5 linked regions of the Rattus norvegicus genome follow. The protein of the gene in region 1 purifies or fractionates together with the protein of each later gene. This does not show direct contact. Links are inferred from orthologs where the notes say so. Each region holds a gene or a part of one and is shown in the gene's direction. Other genes may lie near its edges. The genes, in order: Tmem192, Lamp2, Lamp1, Ctsd and Acp2.

Region 1 (4,048 bases):
CTCATGATCCTTCTGCCTCTTCTAAGTCCTGAGACTACAGGTGTGTGCTACCACACCCAGTTCCCCAGTACGATTCAGTGTGTGTGTGTGTGTGTGTGTGTGTGTGTGTGTGTGTGTGTGTTAAAACTTGGGCTGCAGAGATGCCTCAGTGCTACTTAGATACACTAACCATTCTTCCAAAGGACCTGGGTTTGATTCCCAAAAACAACTGTCAAACTCTAGTGTCAGAGGATCCAATAGCTCCTATGGCCTCCCTGGGCAACAGGCATGCACACAGTGCACAGCCCCCCATGCAAATAAAACACTGAAACACATAAAATAAAAACAATTTTAAAATACTTTGTATGTACAAAACAACTTGTCAGGTGGGTGGTGTGTACTAACAATGCCAGATTTCACTGTGCAAAGGCAAGGGGATCAGGAACTGAAAGTCAGTTTCAGCGCACATCAATTTCTAGGTCAGCGTAAGCTACTTGAGACCTTGTTTTAATTTAAAAAAAAAAAATGAGGACTAACCAATGGCTTTTGCTACCAAGCCCGGGATTCACATAGTGGTGACACAAGCCTTTAATTTGAGCACTCCACTAGAGGAGACAAAGACAGGTGAATCTCTGAGGGTTCAAGGCCATCTTGGTCTACATAGTGAGTTTCAGAACAGCAGAGCTATGTAGAGAAACCCTGTCTCAAAAAGCAAAACTGAAACCAAAAATAATCAAAGGACAGAAAAAGAGATGGGGAAAGAAAAAACAGAAACAGAATACCTAAAAAAACAACAACAACAACAAAAACAACAAGAACAACAAAAGCTACAGGAATTTCCTGTGGAGACAACTGTAAATTTGTTATACAAATTAGAATCTATTCTAGGTCAGTCCCTCTACAGGTGGAATTACAATTTTTACTGCGTCTTTTTCCGAACACAGAGCTATCGCTGCAAACAAAAACTACGCAACAGAAATAAGTTAATGTTTAAAGAGTAGTTGACGAAACATGGTTTAAATGGTTGCTCTAGAAATTCATTTTTTTAATTGCCAAATCTCTGATAAACGGATGAAACAACCGCCTGGGCTAGACCGACACCCAAAGCGGGAGTCTGAAGGGAGGGCCACACTCCTCCTGGCTTCTGATCGGCTGATCTAAGTCGAGGGGCGTGGCCTTAGGGGCGGGGCTGGCGCAGAGTGGGTGTGTCCGGGGCGGGGCGCGCAGGTCCAAGTAGGTGCGACTGTCCCGGGCCCTCGGCGCCGGGGCGCTGGTGGAGAGGTCAGGCTGGCGGGGCATCGGCCCGCGACGGCGGGTCATGGCGGCGGGCGGTAGGCTGGAGGACGTGAGTGAGGCGCCGAGCCCCGTCGCCGCCATCCCGCTTCCTGTGCTGAGCTCAGGGGGCGGAGACAGCGGGCTGGGAGCTACCCAGAGTCGCAGCGGCTCCACCATCGGGGACGCGGGGTGCGGGGTGCGGGGTGACGCGACGGGCGGGGACCGCGGATTCCGGGAGCGTCTTCCTGTGTAATCGGAGGGACACGGCAGGGTTGGCGCGGGGGACCCTTCAGTCGGCGGCTCACGTGCAGTGCGCGTCTTTGGTTCCGGAAATGAGAGCTTCACGTGATGCTCACTACCCTGATCGGTCCTTCCTGGGAAAGACTGACAGGCGGACTTTTACGCCCGGGGTGACCCGGCTTATGTGGGCCCTCCTGCTGCGACTGGAGAGCACTGGGTTCCTGGTGTGACACTGGTGCTTGGGCTAATAGCCTCCCTCGGGCGGACCTGTAGCTCTCATCTCCCGGAAACGCAGATTGGAGCATAAGTGTATCATGTGTTTTGAATGTAGGCATGATAGGAACGGAAAGATGTTTGAATCTTAGATGCATGCCTGCTTGCTTTAAAAAAAAAAGTTCCAGGTGGCCCACTTCGCGGTGTAGCCAGTATAGAATGATAATACAATTGGAAAAATCTTGAGTTTATGAACTCATTAAGACACTGATTAATTTGAAATCAGGTGAGAGGGGGGGTGACACTTTGAGAGGAAATTTGCATTTGTTTCCAGAACAAACTATTTTGTCTATTGGCATAATAAAAGCCCTGCCCTTGAGAAATGCAAGGCTGACATTATGTTAGCACAATGACCTGAGCTAATAACTAATAAAAACATTAGCATGGTCTTACATTAAAAAAAAAAAAGTTCCAGAACTGTAAGAGCTTAGATTCTTGTGTGTTTGGGTCCTGCAATCATTTATTTACTTATTATAGATGTGCTAGGTAGCCCTAGCTGGCCTGGTACTCATTATATAGCCTAACCTGGCCTTAAGTTTGCCTAACTGTTCCCTGACAGCCCATTTTAATGCCTCAATGGTGGGAGTACCTTGCCACCTAGCTAGTTGAATTTTCTCCATGAAATATGTTTCTAACAATGGAACTAATCTAAAGCATAGCGCATTGCTTTTGAAATTTTACGAGTGAGATTTCATGGACTGACAATTTCTGGAAGGAATAAATAAGAGGAAAATGAGTGGTTTAGAAAAAACTCGAGCAGTGTTTCTCGGTGCTAACCTGCCCTGGAGTTCTTGGATCTTTCAGAAGTACAGTCCTGGATATTTCTTTCGGCAAACAATCGGGGATGGGTATTTCACCAACAATGAAGTGGCTGAACCTATGGACCTAGGGAGGTTGCCTGCCTTTGGTATTTTGTAGATAACAAAGTGCACATTTAGTGAGCTGTACATGGGCTATGTTGCAAGCCCAGGTGCTTAAGCGAGTCAGTGAATGAATGGCTCGTTTATAAAGACAAGGACTTGTTGCAGCTTTGAATAAATGAACACCCAGGCCTCTGAAGGACCCAAACAAAGGCAGCTCAAAGGGTCTTAAGTAATAGGAGGCATTTTAGAGTCCTCACTGGGGTGAGTGTATAGCAGGCCTAGCTCGTATATAATGACACTGAGTTTTTAATATTTTAAAGCTTAGGCTTTTCATCGAGGGCTGTCTTCTAGCTACTCTAACCTGACTAATCCTGGCACTACGTCCTGCTGTGGCCAGCTCTACCTCTGCTCAGCTCAGGCGCCTCTGTTTATTCCCTTGTCTGCTGTCTGAATCCCTCACCTCTGATTTCTTCTCCCAGAATCCCTTTCTCCCCTGGAAAAGTCACCCTCCACCCCCTGCCTAACTACTGGCTGTCAGCTCTTTATGACAGCCAACTAGAGACAATTCTAGATCAGAGCAGGAAGAACAAATATTTACAAAAATAGAAACCCAGTAATGGGCCATAGAAATGGGAAGACCAGAATCCTAGCATTTAGCTCTCTGCTGGTACAGAATTAACAATTGAAAACAGAGACACACCTTCACAGTATGTACTCTGACATGAATATGGTGCTGTGACCTTACCCGAGATCTGTCTACAAACCATCTTTTGTTGTATGACAACCCTCAGACCAAGAGAGGCAGAGGGGAAATATTTAAAGATATCCCACATGAATTTTGGTTTTTTACAGGCTCACACTAGGTGACTCAGGCTAGCCTCTGGCTTACGGTAATCCTCCTGAAGCCACTATACCTGGGTCCTAGTAAGACTTAATACACTATAGACATAGGTCCCCAAAGGAAGTAGTTACTGGGGGAAGAAAATGAAGAGGTAGTGTAGGGACCAAAATAATAGCTGAATTCTTTGGTAGTAACTCAGTCATAAGTCATGGAAATGGGTTGGGCGAGCATGGTAGAGTTCTTGCTTGCTTAGCATGCACACATCCCTGAGCTCAGTCCTTAGCACCACAGAAACCAGGCATGGTAGCACACATTTGTAATCCCAGCACTGAGGAAGTAAGGGGAAGGAATCTTAAACTTAAGGTCACCCTTGGTCTTAGGGAGCTGTCGGCCAAAATAAAGGAAATGAAGGAGTAATTTGGGGTTCTGGGGGTGTAGCTCAGTGTTAGAGCATTTGCGTATCACTCATGTGGTCCTAGGTTTGTGGTGGGGAGAGATTTGTAAGAAGACAGAAAAGTTGATCGATAAGTTGATTGAAAATGATTCAAGCCAGGCAGTGGTGGCTCACACTTTAATC
Region 2 (3,516 bases), on another chromosome or scaffold:
TATGCCTACTGTCCACAGAAGCCAGAGAGGTGTGACATCCCCATGAGACTGGAGTTACAGGGATTTTTGGCCACTAAATGGGTGCCAAGAACTGAATGTGCTTATTCTGGTATAGCTGCCGGCGTGCTATACCACGAAGTTATCCGTCCAGTCACTGCTTTCTGATTTTTTTTGTAACCCTCATGTTTTGTCTTCCCTATGCCTACAGTTCCAGTCACAGTGAATTTGTCATTCCTGTCAATGCTCCACAGTTTATTACTTTTGGCATGGCAAGGCCTAGAAGGAAAGAAAGGCTGTATTTATGTTAATGTAAATATATTAGCAGTTTCTCATGTCTTCCTGGAAATGCCATTGTTCACCTTGTTTCATAGGAATCCTTACTGTTATCATTCCTGTGGGATCCCAGCTTCCATTGGGTGTCATCTTTAAGTGCAGTAGTGTTTTAACTTTCAACCTGAGTCCTGTTGTTCAGCACTATTGGGGCATTCACCTGCAAGCTTTTGTCCAAAATGGTACAGTGAGTAAACATGGTGAGTTTGTTTTTGTTTGTTTGTTTGTTTGTTTGTTTGTTTCTTTCTTTTTTTTTTGACAGTATTTCTCCATGAAACAACCCAGGCTGTCCTGTAACTCTGTAGACCAGGCTGGCCTCGAACTCCCAGAGATCTGCCTGCTTCTGCTTCCCTAGTGCTGGCATTAAACACATTTTTCCCCAGTTCCTGACCAAAAACCATGAGACCGTAAAGTATAAATTTATATATGTGGCTCTTATTTTAAGGGCAGATTACATCAGGTACCATTCATTGAGATCATCGTCTGAGAACATTTCTTAAGGTGCAGACTAAATATTTTTAAAGTTATTTTTCTTTTTCTCTTCTTTCTTTCTTTTTTCTTTTTCTTTTTCTTTTTCGCAAGACAGGGTTTCTCTATGTAGTCTTGGCCATCCAGAACTCGCTCTGTAGATCAGGCTGGCCTCACATGTCAGAGATCCACCTGCCTGTGCCTCTGCATCCTGGGATCAAAGATGTGAACTAGGATCAAAGCATAGGCTTAAAGTGATAGCCATTTTTAGTGATAATTTCAGTTGAAAGCTTATGATGCATGGAAACGTTTTGTTTGTAGTATGCAGTATGTGTGTGTGTGTGTGTGTGTGTGTGTGTGTGTGTGTGTGTGAGAGAGAGAGAGAGAGAGAGAGAGAGAGATATTAAGAGAATGATTGTATGCACTAGAGGCCCCCAGTGAACCATTTAATGAAAATGTAAAATTTCACATTCATTACTAGAAAACTACTAATACTTCCTAAGAAGGAATTTTAATTCCCATAACCTACTATAGGAGTGATAGAAATAAAAGGTTCCTTTGAATTTAAACCCTTCAACGATTTCCAAGCTAGTTTTAGTAAGCACTTCTTCACAGTGGTTGTTGTGTTTGAAGGAAAAAGACTTTTTAGCTTGGAGGAGGGGGGCGTTGTTTTTAGACTTGGCTCTGAATTTCTCATCAGATCAGAGACAGGTGAAATTCTTTGAAATAAAGACCTTTGCGAGTGCAAGAAAGAAGAGTATGTGGCTTTACTTGAGTAGCTATAACTTTTGATATGTTTTGAGTTTGTTTACTCTGGTTATAACTCATAAGAAATTATCTGTCTATTAAACAGTACTTTAGGAACCTCTGCTTCATCCACTTTAAAAATATACCACCAAGGTCTTCTTTTGCCCTAATTAACCCTCTTGGACTGTGAGAACCTGACTTGGAGAAGTAGTTTGTTCTCTTCCCTGGCCCAGTAAAGCAAGATCACCCTAGCTTATTTTGTCCTTTGTTTTAGAACAAGTGTGTAAGGAGGACAAAACTGCTACCACTGTAGCACCCATCATTCACACCACCGTGCCATCGCCTACTACGACACTCACTCCAACTTCAATACCCGTTCCAACTCCAACGGTTGGAAACTACACCATTTCTAATGGCAATGCTACCTGTCTGCTGGCTACCATGGGGCTGCAGCTGAACATCACCGAGGAGAAGGTAGGGTTTAGTGAAACCTTTTTTTGTAATGTATAGCGTACCATGCACTTAAGAACTAGACTGACTCAAGTTTAAATGCACAGTTTGTGTTGAGTTTTGAATAGTTTGGAAAGACGATATCCGTGAATAGTTAATATCACCATCAAGGCATCTTGGCCAGCAGAGAACCTGCCAATTTATTTAAAGACTTCTTTACAAGCTTAGATTTTATAAGCCTTCAGTAGAGGCTCAGCATATGTAGTTAAGTTAGAGATGGAGTAAAGTTCAGGGGTAGAGCACTTGCATCCCATGCACAAGGTTTGGGTACCATTCCAACACTGCCAAAAGTGAAAAATCAAACTGTAGCCTATTCAGCCTCTTGTTTGAACCACACTGTAGGTTGGTGCAAGGCTATTTGATGAGTCAGACAGAGGAGTTAGGCCCAAGTACTTGTCGAGTTGCAATACCTCATTCGGACAGCAGAGGGCGCGCCAGTGAACAAATCCCATTTTTCTATGATTGAAACAAGCCAGACAGATGGTTCTTGTGCTCTAAAAAAAAAAAAAAAAATGTGTTTTCATTTTGGCTCATTACTGAGGAAACTTCCCTCTTCTTATTGTTGTTGTTGAAGTCGGCTGAGTCATAGCTTGAAGGCTTGTGTCAAGTTTTCTTGAAAGTAAGACAACAAGCATTCTACATTAAAAGACAACAAGCAGTCTACATTAAAAGAGGTTGTGCTGTACTTTGGTTTTATCAGTGTAATGGGCTTTGGTGTTGACTTTTACAGTTAATCTGCACCTTCCTTCTTTATTCTCCTGAAGGTGCCTTTCATTTTTAACATCAACCCTGCCATAACCAACTTCACCGGCAGCTGTCAGCCCCAAACAGCTCAACTTAGGCTGAACAACAGCCAAATTAAGTATCTCGACTTTATCTTTGCTGTGGTGAGTACTGACTGTTTGCTAAAGCTAAGTTCTTTCTCTGAGAAGTGCCCCTGCAAGTCTCCAGAGTGGTAGGTGTATGCCAGGGTGGGGGCGGGGTGATATTCGGTTTACTTATCCCTGCTCATCTCTGAGTCAGCTGGACTATCTATGGGCTGGGCTCTTGTATTAATAATTATAGAAAGTGGCTATTGTACTATTATATGTACTTCAGTGTAGAAACACGAATGAACTCACATAAAAAGAAAACTAAGTATAGTTTTTATACTATTTTCTCTTATTAGACAATTCTCATGCTAACACAAAATTTTACATATTTTATAGTTATATTCTTCTTATAAAGATACATTTATTATGTACATTGGTGTTTTGCCTATATGTATTTGTGAGTGAAGGTGCCACATGCCATGGAATCACAGAGAGCTGTGAGCTGCCATGTGGGTGTGGGGAATTGAACCTGGGTCCTTGAAGAGCCACCAGTGCTCCCAATTGCTAAGTCATCTCTTTAGCCCCATTAACATTCTTTATAGTAGTGTCTGTACTAGTAATAGCTAGCATTAAATAAGCATTGTTAGCT
Region 3 (3,996 bases), about 54 Mb from region 1:
GACAGAATGACCGCCCAGAGTCTGGCCCATACAAGTTCCAACTCAACCTGGGTCTTAGGATGACACCATGACCCAAAACAACAAACATTTTGAGTGTTACATTCACAAAAGAGGGAGATATTTTAGTATTGAATTCTTCATGGAAATACTCATGCCCATCAACATGATCTTCGACCATCAGGAATGCTCAAAAAACACTGCGCCCACACATGAAATCCAAGCACTCAGGAAGGAGAAGCAGGCAGATCTGAACTTGAGGCCAGTTAGGGATAGATACTGAAATCCTATCTTTCTTTTTAGAAACTATTTACTTCTCTAGAATTATTTTATGTATGAGTACACTACAGCTGTCTTCAGACACAACGGAAGAGGGCCTCAGATCCCATTACAGATGGTGTGAGCCACTATGTGGTTGCTGGGAATTGAACTCAGGACCTCTGAAAGAGCAGTCAGTGCTCTTAACCTCTGAGCCATCTCTCCAGCCCGAAATCCCATTTGGCGCCCTCTTCCGGTGTGTCTGAAGACAGCGACAGTGTACTCATATACATAAATCTTTTTTAAAAAGTGTCTTTCCCACATTCCCACCGTCTACATATCCTACAGGACTGTCCTCTGCCTGGACCACCGATTGGGACATGGATATACTTGGGGTTGGCCCTAGACACTAGTCTGGGCCTAGAGATCGCCTGCGAGCCTGAAAGTAGAGGCTAGCCTGGGACTAGGGCACGGATCTAGATGTGAATACCCACCTGGAAACATATGCACACTGTCCTTATATGTAAACACTGACCATGTATTGACCTAGACATAGATGCCAGCCTACGTCTGGGCTGCAGGCCTTCAGGGGCTTGGACCTGAACAGTGCCATGCAGCTGGCCTATGGGGCCCGGTCCAGCTTTCACAGCTTCCTGTTTCCATCCTCACTTTCTCCCGCAGTGATTCTTCCCTTTCTCAAAGCCACAACCTACTTTCCATTTCAGAACACTCGGGAAAAGGACGGATGGCTAAGCATCACGTGGCCTGGAGACCACGTGACGCCGATCGGCACGTGACACCATCACGAGCCAAGTGGAGACTCCAGGAGAAGAGAGTAAGCGGCAGGCCGGCGGGCTCTCGCGAGACCCTCGGCTCACGTGACCGGCGGGCGCGGCACTGTTCACGTGACAGGCGCTGCCGGCCGCAGGGTCTTCTCGGTGCCGGCGCCGCAGCTGCCGGGCCTCTCGAGTCGGTGGACGCGCCCTCCCGCCGGCCTCGCCGCCCGCGCAACCGCCGTCCTTCGGCCTCGGCTGCGTCGCGCCATGGCGGCCCCGGGCGCCCGGCGGCCGCTGCTCCTGTTGCTGCTGGGTGAGCCCAGGAGGGAGGGAGAGCCGGGCGGGGTCGGCGTCTCGGGACCGACGGGAACGGGGCGCCAGGCCGGGCGGGAACGGGGGTGCCCGGGCCGCAGGCGTCGAGTGGGCCTCGAGCCCGCCAGCCCGCTCCGCAGTGGCGCTCGCCGCCTCGGTGCCCGTGCGGGCCCAGCCTGGGACGCTCTGTAGGAGCTGGGATGGACCTCCTGCTAGGCAGTGCTGCTGGCTTTGAGCTACCTTGTGAGAGGAATGGGTGCTGCCCCGACCCTGCCTGGGGTGCCCTTCCTCGCCGCTGTATCCCAGCAACGCAGAGTTTGGCTGCAGTGCCAGCATCTGCAGGACAGGAGAGGGGTGGTTGGCCAGATCACCTGAGCGCACAGGTTCACGATTTCCCGAGCACCTGTCAGGACCCATCGGACCCCAAAATCCTGTGACTGACTTTATGGAATTTGTTTTCCCTCTTTATTTTGCTGTTTGTATGAAACGAACTCTTTAGTCTCTGTGAGAAAGAGAGAGGTGCGCTTACTCGGCGGTTTCAAACCTGAAGCCTTGCTGAGGGACCTGTGACCCTTCACGGTTCAGTAGTTGTAAACGCGAGTACCCGAGTTGCTGAAACAAGTTCTGTCGTGTCAGAATGGCGTAATTAGGAGAGTTCACAGGGCTTGGTAAATAGCAGGAGTTATCCAACACTGCCAAAAAATTTAAACCCTTATAATGTTTATGCTTTAAAAAAAGTGGGGGGGTGTCAACCATGTAGAACATACTGTCCCCAAACTCACAGGTTCTCGCTGCCTCTGCTTCCTAAATGCTGGTTGGGATAAAGCTGTGGGACATTGGGTTGGGCCTCTTCATGATTTTAAAACTCCCCTCTGGCTGGCATAGTGGTTTACACCTTTAACCCAACGCTAGAGAGGCAGGGGGATCTCTTCAACATGCCATTCTGGTCTACATAATGAGTTCTAAGACAGCCGGGACTGGAGACCCTGTTGCAAAAATAAAATAAATAAACAAAGAATGAATGAGTAAAACTAATCAATGGTGGCTCACACTTGTTAGACCTTGGGGGCTGGGGCAGGGAGATTTTAAGTTTGGGTCAGCCTGAGTTAGGTAATGAAATCCTTCTGTAAAAAAAAAAAAAAGAAAAGAAAAGGAAAGGAAAGTGGACGGTGGCTTATGCTTGTAATCCAAGCACTTAGCAGGCTGATGTGGGAGAATTTCTGTGAATTGGAGGCTAACCTGGGCTACAGAGTGAGACACTGTTTCAAACAAAATCAAAGTGGAGAGGATAGATCTGTGGCCCTCATTGAGTGCTGTATGCCATAAATTACGTCCCAGCTTTCACGAAGGTTCTTTAACAACTTTGACGGAGATCTGAGATGTGTGACTTCAAAAATAATTTTATCTTTAACCAGTTCTATAACTCTGGAATTGTTAATTGTTCCTAGGTAAAGCTCCTCCGAGCTGCTTAAGTGCTTAATAGAAAACAGCCTTGTGTGAACTGAAACTAGTAAGCGTGCTTGCTTAGTGGGGTGGAGTTGTTGGTGCTGACCCCCCGACCTTCCCCTTTCTGGATGAGCCCTGTACAGCAGTCTAGAAGAATGAGAGGTCTAATTAGTGTTATCCTGGATTGTGGGACCTTGAATTCTTCATTAGATTTTTAGTCAAGCTGTTCAGTGGCCTTGTAATTTTGAATTTATGTTCTCTTAGACACAATTCAGACATTGTCATATTGACCTGCCCCTTCCCCCTTTTTAAGATTTACTTGTTTATGTATATGAGAACACCATGACTGTCTTAAGACACATTTCTGGACATTGGATCCCATTACAGATGGTTGTGAGCCACCATGTGGTTGTTGAGGATTGAACTCAGGACCTCTGGAAGAGCAGTCAGTGTTCCTAACCTCTGAGCCATCTCTGCAGCCCAACCTGACCTTTTAATTGGACACACAGACTGTGGCCCCTGCACTGGGAATAGCCTGTCTCCTTTGCTCTGTTAAGAGCCCCAGTCCTGACACATGAGATTGTGTGGTGCTTTCATGAAGTGGCAGGTTTGCAGAGTAGTCCTGAACTGAATCTAGAGGAAGGAACTCTTGACACTTTCTCCCACAACACTCTGTTAGCTTGCCCTAACCCATGGAAGTTAGCCAGCAGGAAGGGAGCCATCCCTCTAGAGGTGGTAGCTAGTGCAGTGTGTGGAGTAGAACTTTGGCCATTTGTTTAAATGTTCAGAGGTGATTATCACTAGACAGGAAACTGAATTCAGGGTGTGGTTGGCTGGAGACAGGGTCTCACTGTGTAAGTGATCCAGGCTGGCTTACCCAGCCAGTCCTTCACCCCGCTGGAGAAGCAGTGTGGTCAATAGGCCACACACTGAAGCAAACAAACTGGGCCACTCACTTCTGATGCCCTAAAGCAAGCTACTATCTCTGGGCCTTTCTACCTCAGCAGGAGGGAGTCATGGTGACAGCCTTTTCAGGTTGCCATAGTAATTTAACTGAAAAGTACTTTAAGCAGTACTTGTCACAAAGTGAAAGTGTCACAAGTACTTGTTAAGCAGGGCTTGCTGGGCAAAGAAGAAAGCCCCCAACAAAAGTGGTTAAGTAGCAGGAGTTTTTGGTGGGATGGTGAGAACTGAGGTGTTCTGACAG
Region 4 (3,516 bases), on another chromosome or scaffold:
ATAGATATGGAAAGGCATAGGCAAGGTGAGAGCTGAGGCAGAAGCACCTCCCTCCTGCTTCTCGTGCCTGGTTAACACGAAGTCCTCATAAGTCCCTCAGAGAGGAACCCTGTGTCCTTGTCTTCAGCTGTGTGGCTATGTCAAGCACTTCTGTACGAGTTCTGCTTTTTTGACTGTCCTGAGGGAGAATGTCAGCTGTGACGTATCTGCTCTGGCTTTCAGGTTCCATGTAAGTCAGACTTAGGAGGTATCAAGGTGGAGAAACAGATCTTTGGGGAAGCCACCAAGCAGCCTGGAGTCGTATTCATCGCAGCCAAGTTTGATGGCATCTTGGGCATGGGCTACCCTTTTATCTCTGTTAACAATGTGCTCCCGGTCTTCGACAACCTGATGAAACAGAAGCTGGTGGAAAAGAACATCTTCTCCTTCTACCTGAACAGGTGCAGTAGGAGAGGCGTGGCTCTCATCCTCCCTGGAGCTCAGCTCCAGGGTGAAAGATACAGCTGGGACTTGAGAGCCTGTGCTGAAGGCTTGGCCATGGCATCAGACCTAAGGGGATCGGGTAGGCAGGAGTTAGTTACTGTTACCTGCTTGGGAGAGAAAGCCATGTGCCAGGGACTTTAGCCAGGAGATGCTGGTTGCCTGGATCAGAGTCTCAGCTGCTGGGTCAGGACCCAGGCACTGGTAAGAGCAGATGTAGTCTCTGCTTGGGCTGCTAGTCGCTAGGAGAGACATGGGTATGAGCTTTGATCTGTGACACTCCTCTGGGGACAGGGTCCGGGAACCTTTCCTAGGGCAGAATCAGAAGTCACTGGGGAGGTCTGAGAGCCCTGGGTTATACATTGAGAGTGGCCTTGGGGGAGGGAGTTGTCTCTCCCTGAGAGATTGGGGACCTTTCTGTTAGCAGAGATCCTACACACACGCACACGGACATGTACACACCCACCCCCTTGCAGGGAGCTTCCAGCCTTCCAGTCTCCTGCCTCCTGCAAGCCTGTCCAACAGTCTTGTTCAGGAACTTCACAAGATGGGCAGCTGGGTATATGGGGCTCCTCTCTTGCTAGGTTTAGCTCCTGGGTGTGGGTGGGGTGTAAGTAGGTAGCCTCCTTCCTACTCCAAGTTGCGCTGCCGACCACACCCTCCTTCTCTGGGCTGACTTACTTGCATGTCTAGCAAGGGTAACCTCCATACTCTATTTGTAGGTCTGAACCCTAACCCTTATTGATGGGCACTGGCCCCGTGCCAGCCCAGAATCTTCTAGTTTTACTTTTCCCTGTCTATTTCTGTCCCTTGTTTAAATGGTGACTACCCAGTTCACTCTGGGCACAGTGGCTTCCCTAGAGGCAGGGGCATGGATCAGTGGACAGGGTCATTGACTTCTGGGCTCTGCTTCCTAGAGTAGGTGGGTGCCCCAAAGTTAGACAGGCTGGGCATAGCAGCACATGCTTTTAATCCCAACACTCAAGAGGCAGAAGCAGGAGGATCTCTGTGAGTTCAAGGACAGCCAGAGAACTACATCAAGAGACACTGTCTCAGAAAACAAAAACAAGTTGGCCAAGTCGAAGCCTGGAGACGTCTGTCTTATCTCAGTCCCATGGTGCCTTAGGGGCCCACAAATACCACTTGGCCTATAAGTCTTAAGTCTCTGTTCTAGGATCTCAATATACCCATCTTCCCTTGCTGGTGCCTGTCTTTTAGGAGGAGCCCTCCCAGGCTCAGCAACTAGGAATGGATGTGGTAGCTACAGCCTGGGCCCCAGGGTACTTACTGTGCCAGCTGGGTTTCAGGCTGGTGACCCAGAGGTGTGGCTACTGAGTAGGCGGGTGTAAAACCAGCAGAGTGATCAGGCAGTGTGGGTGGAACGTCGGCGAGAAGAGGAGAGGCAGGGCCGGTATCCATCGTGTTTCCACCTAGGATTTCAGAGGCAATGACAAGCCAAAGCCAGGCCAGGGTGGAGACTTGGGTAGGAGAACAGGGTGAGGCTTGGGGATCCACGGGCCAGGAGGAAGATGTGGAACCTGATTAGGAAGGCCTGGCAGGATGGCAACTTCCCTTTAACTTTGGGTAATTGTGCCCCAGAGTGATGCCTAGCCGGGTGACATTCATGTTCCCCGGACCCCCGAGGTTGGAGGGGACAAGCTTATACTTACTTGCTGACTGCCTGAGAGCACTCAGTGTTGTGGCTGTAGACTGCGCTCCCTGTGTTCTGTTTGAGGGTATGGTGGGCATTCCCATGAGACTAGAGGTGGGGGGAGTTGAGAGAAGGGTTTGGAGGAGAAAGAGTGATAGCAAGTGCTACATCCATGGCTGAAGCCTGCTCAGCCTCTCAGGACCATGGCCCTGGCTTCCTCTTAGAAGCCCGCCTTGAATTTTGCCAGGCAGAGAAGGCATCCCTGTTCTTCAGCTCCAGCCTGACTGAGCCTTGGCCTTGGCTACCAGTGACTGACCCTGAACACCTGCAGCCAGCATCCTGCAGAGAAGGGCCAGCTGTACCCAGCAGCTTATGTGGGACTGGGCTGGAAGCCCCTCCCTGGGGTGACAGGCTCCACTTTCCTCTTCTCTGTGAGTCTTCCTATACCTGTAGGATCAAGGTTGCTCAGCAGGGCAGCAGATGCAGAAACGGGAACTTAGCTTAGGATCTGAGCCCTAGGCTGGCTGAGCCCTAGGCTTATCTCTGGCCAGGCAGGGCAACATGAATGTGTCATGTCAGAAACATAAATGGGCATGTTTCTGTCTTTCAGCAGTGTTAGAATTTATTGAGTAACTCTAAATTCACATGCTAAATAAATGCATTTACTCCAATTTGCCAAGTAACCCCAAATTTACTTGGTAGCCAACCGTTGGTATCATGGATTTCTTTATTCTGATTTTTTTTTTAATGTGTGTCTGTGTGGGGGTATATTCGTGTGTGTGCAGTTGCCAGTGGAGGCCAGGAAGAGGGTGATGGATTCCCAGGAGCTGGGAAGTGAACTCAGTCCTCTGTAAGAGCAGCAAGCTCTCTTAGCCACTGAGCCGTCTCTCCAGCCAGTTATATTCAGATCTTAATTAAAAACACCAGCAGGTCACATGTTACCACCCTTCACACAATATTGCCTGTATATAGGGTCAGGTTCCAGACTAGCTAAGAAAGGGCTGCAGGGCCCAGGGAGGGTGTATAGAAATCAGAAGTAGAAAGCTGAAACAAACACAGGAAGAATAGGGAACCACAGAAGAAGTCAGTCACAGACACAGAAATGTCAGTCGCAGGTTTTGGTGACAGGGTCACTTTGGAAGTGCACTGAGTTCAAAGGCAGGAGAATCTGTTTGAGCCTACAGCCTGGGGACAGAACCAAGGGTTCTTTGCCAAGGAAAGAATTCCTGGATCAGGCTCATCAGTAGGCTTGCTGCGTTTCAGCCTTAGGTTGTCCCTTGGTAATCCCAGGTGAGGGGTTGTCACATCTGGTGTGACTGATAAGCTGGAGTTCACATAAGCTAGGATCCGATAGTCTCGGTTGTGGTTTATCAGTTCGTTTCTCC
Region 5 (3,229 bases), on another chromosome or scaffold:
GATGTTAAACAATTTTGTATCACCTTTTGCTGCAATGAAGCTGTTATCAAGATCATCAATTCTTAGTCAGCTTCTCTCACCTCAGCAGCCCAGTTGCCATTTCTTCCTTAAACACATTTTTTTTAGTGTTGTGGACATAGCCCAGTGGTAGAATCCATGGCTAGCATGTGTGAAGCCCTAGATTCCCTCCCCGACCACCGCACTGCAACAGTAACAACCGTTTTCATGACTTCAGTTTTTTACTTACTACAAATTCCTTACCGTTTTCCCTCTTCTCTAAATAATGAATGGCCTGAGGCTTATCCCTATCCCCTTTCCTATCTGTCCTGACTCCCAAGGGATCTCATCAACCTCATGGCTTTCCTACCTCATCTTCATGGTAAGTTAAGTTCCACTTTTGTAATATGACTTTGATTTATAACTTCTTTTTTTTTTTTTTTTTGGTTCTTTATTTTCGGAGCTGGGGACCGAACCCAGGGCCTTGTGCTTCCTAGGCAAGCGCTCTACCACTGAGCTAAATCCCCAACCCCGATTTATAACTTCTGAGCTAGGCTTTCCCCCAGCTACTGACTTGAAACCTCTCTACATGGATGTCACATGAGGCATTGTGTCTGAACCAGCATCTCTTCTCAGATCTACTTGTTCATTTTACAGCTGTCAATTTAAAGATTTAGTTCACCTATGAGTGCACTGTTGCTGTCCTCAGACACCCCAGAAGAGGGCATCAGATCCCATTACAGATGGTTGTGAGCCTCTATGTGGTTGCTGGGGATTGAACTCAGGACCTCTGGAAGAGCAGCCAGTGCTCTTAACCGCTGAGCCATCTCTCCAGCCCACAGCTGTCAACTTAATAGATGCTGCATTAGTCTCACGGTCACACAGTGTACCATTAGGCATTCTCTTCCTCATAGCCCACACCCAGTCCACCGGCAGATTCTATGCTTCTCAGATGCTGAGCTCTCGCCTCTCCAGTCATTAGCAGTTCTTGCCTGAGCCGCTCACAAGCCTAACGTTCATTCTGGTTCCATTCTTGTCCCTACCAGTCTCCAGACAGCAAAGTTAATTTCTTTAGAAATATAACTTGAGGCTAGGTGTATAACCCAGTTGATAGGGTACTCACTCTACCAACCAAACTATGGGAAAAACCGCTTAGTTTAACTCCTGGCACTGCATGAACTGGGTGTGGTAGTGTACACCTCTAATTCCAGCACTCAGAAGGGGGAAGGAGGATAGGTCAAGGTCATCCTCTACTATATAGTCAATTTTGAGACAGCCTGGGCTATATGAGACCATGTTTTTTTTAAATGTGCATATATATTAATCACACACAAAGACCCAGGTTCTCTATCGTGACTGCCCTGCCTCTGCTTGACTTGGATGTCTTCTGGTTCCTAGTGCCCCTTGCTTACTCTGTGATACTCTTGCTGAATCCAGCACACCAAGCCTGTTCTATCAGATGTGTCCTCCTACCCCCACTCCATGACACTCTACTCTCATCTGTTTTACTTCCTGACCCCCAGGTCTGGTCCTATTTCCTCAGTGATTTCTAATGTATCTTGTCCATAGAGCATCACTGATGTGTCATTCCCGTGAAATGCTTGCTCGTTCTAAGAGCAGACTGCCTCGACCACCTTTCTATTTCCCTGTTTTTTTTTTGTTTTTTTTTTTTTTTTGGTTCTTTTTTTCGGAGCTGGGGACCGAACCCAGGGCCTTGCGCTTCCTAGGTAAGCGCTCTACCACTGAGCTAAATCCCCAGCCCCCTATTTCCCTGTTTTGTCAACACAGTACCTGGCTTGGGGTAGGTGCTCTGTTATTTGTTGGATGAATACTAATGTTACTTTCTTTTCCTCTCCCCTGTCCAGAGGTGATTGTGGCACTGGCTGTCTGTGGCTCCATCCTCTTCCTTCTAATAGTGTTGCTCCTCACTGTCCTCTTCCGGATGCAGGCCCAGCCTCCTGGCTACCACCATGTTGCAGACAGGGAAGACCATGCTTGACAACCACTCAGTCCCCTTCCCTCTGCCTCCTAGGGGATGTGGGCTGAGTCCTTGCTCCTGACTATTGCCGATCCCAGCCCAGGGACAGGTTTAGCCTTCCTGATTACCTACGCCCAAATGAATGAGTGAGGCTGGGCTGGTCGCACGTCACCTGTGACTTACCATCCTCATGCCTGATGTTTACCATGTACTGTGTTGGACACTGGCTTTCTCTAAATGGGATTTGCCTCTTCTATACTCCCTAAGGACTTGAGATACAGACAAGCATTCAGGTTTTACTCAAGACCTGGGATTAAAAAAACAAAACAACAACAGAAAAAAAACCCCAAACCCTGAAGAAGCTGGTACTTGATCTGTCTAGCTCTTCCCCCAAGCCTTGCTCTTTGTCTTCTAGCCCATATCTTTGGCAAATGGCTTGGAGGACATTGTCCCTTGGTACTTTTGCAGTTCATATAAATGGCTCATTTTATATGGATCACCCAACAGCAAAGTTTCCCTCTGACTGAGGCTGCCGTCAGTGTCAACCTCAGGCAGGTTGAAGGACACTGGTGCTGCACCTGGATGACAGTGGGAGGACACAGGAGTGAAACACATGGAATCATGACGTGACTCTCCCTCAGCTGGGCTGGACTCTTCAGGGACTTGAAGTAAATGCAGCTGGTGAACTGTACACCTTGACTGTGGCCCGAAACAGAGCTGAAGTAACTCCGAGGAAATGAAGGTTTTGACTGAGTGCTGGTTCTGTGCCTTTTTTTTTCCTTCCCCATTTCTGACATCCAAGAAGCACTCTTACCAGGTCAGTACTAGGTCTCAATACAAAAGATATGCTTTTATTGGTTATGTCAAAATGAACATAAAAATTTAAAAATTCCCTGGTTATTCTGCTACTATACATCAGAAAAAAGGAAAGTACCTTGGCTCTAGCATGAACTTGGTCTCCAGGCTAGACACAGCAGGGACCCTGAGGGTAGCTGGTTTACTCTTTAATTTTCTGAAGCAAAATCTAGAGCAGTAACATGTCAGTATCCTAGTTCCATACAGTATCCCATGCCACCAGCACCCCTACTCCCACACTGAGAGTTGGGTACTTCTGGCCTGTGAACAAACAGCTACCACTTCTCTCACAGAACCTGCTCCCATAGGCAGGGTCAGGTGTTGCTGTCCCACACCATCTTCATAGTCTTTCATGGTCTTTCAATGACCCATCTTCCTCTGGGCTCCAAATGAGAATAT

What was found.
Region 2: the proteins of Tmem192 (region 1) and Lamp2 purify together in Homo sapiens (affinity purification with western blotting; 5 studies listed by BioGRID and IntAct, with this or other methods). This does not show direct contact. The link is inferred for Rattus norvegicus from reciprocal best matches to the Homo sapiens genes TMEM192 and LAMP2.
Region 3: the proteins of Tmem192 (region 1) and Lamp1 purify together in Homo sapiens (affinity purification with mass spectrometry; 3 studies listed by BioGRID and IntAct, with this or other methods). This does not show direct contact. The link is inferred for Rattus norvegicus from reciprocal best matches to the Homo sapiens genes TMEM192 and LAMP1.
Region 4: the proteins of Tmem192 (region 1) and Ctsd purify together in Homo sapiens (affinity purification with western blotting; 3 studies listed by BioGRID, with this or other methods). This does not show direct contact. The link is inferred for Rattus norvegicus from reciprocal best matches to the Homo sapiens genes TMEM192 and CTSD.
Region 5: the proteins of Tmem192 (region 1) and Acp2 purify together in Homo sapiens (affinity purification with mass spectrometry; 3 studies listed by BioGRID and IntAct, with this or other methods). This does not show direct contact. The link is inferred for Rattus norvegicus from reciprocal best matches to the Homo sapiens genes TMEM192 and ACP2.

The regions. Positions count from the first base shown.
Region 1 is NC_086034.1:29,524,673-29,528,720, reverse strand, and holds the start of Tmem192 (transmembrane protein 192), read left to right. Parts: upstream 1-1,236; 5' UTR 1,237-1,297; coding exon 1,298-1,324; intron 1,325-4,048.
Region 2 is NC_086039.1:122,063,669-122,067,184, reverse strand, and holds part of Lamp2 (lysosome-associated membrane glycoprotein 2 precursor), read left to right. Parts: intron 1-371; coding exon 372-530; intron 531-1,819; coding exon 1,820-2,019; intron 2,020-2,819; coding exon 2,820-2,942; intron 2,943-3,516. UniProt on the Homo sapiens protein: Lysosomal membrane glycoprotein which plays an important role in lysosome biogenesis, lysosomal pH regulation and autophagy.
Region 3 is NC_086034.1:83,072,263-83,076,258, reverse strand, and holds the start of Lamp1 (lysosome-associated membrane glycoprotein 1 precursor), read left to right. Parts: upstream 1-1,195; 5' UTR 1,196-1,298; coding exon 1,299-1,344; intron 1,345-1,350; exon of another isoform or gene 1,351-3,943; intron 3,944-3,996. UniProt on the Homo sapiens protein: Lysosomal membrane glycoprotein which plays an important role in lysosome biogenesis, lysosomal pH regulation, autophagy and cholesterol homeostasis.
Region 4 is NC_086019.1:206,958,819-206,962,334, reverse strand, and holds part of Ctsd (cathepsin D precursor), read left to right. Parts: intron 1-222; coding exon 223-440; intron 441-3,516. UniProt on the Homo sapiens protein: Acid protease active in intracellular protein breakdown. Plays a role in APP processing following cleavage and activation by ADAM30 which leads to APP degradation.
Region 5 is NC_086021.1:97,638,123-97,641,351, forward strand, and holds the end of Acp2 (lysosomal acid phosphatase isoform 1 precursor), read left to right. Parts: intron 1-1,862; coding exon 1,863-1,996; coding exon of another isoform or gene 1,997-2,029; 3' UTR 2,030-2,729; downstream 2,730-3,229. Other genes in the region: Ddb2 (DNA damage-binding protein 2), read right to left, coding at 3,171-3,229.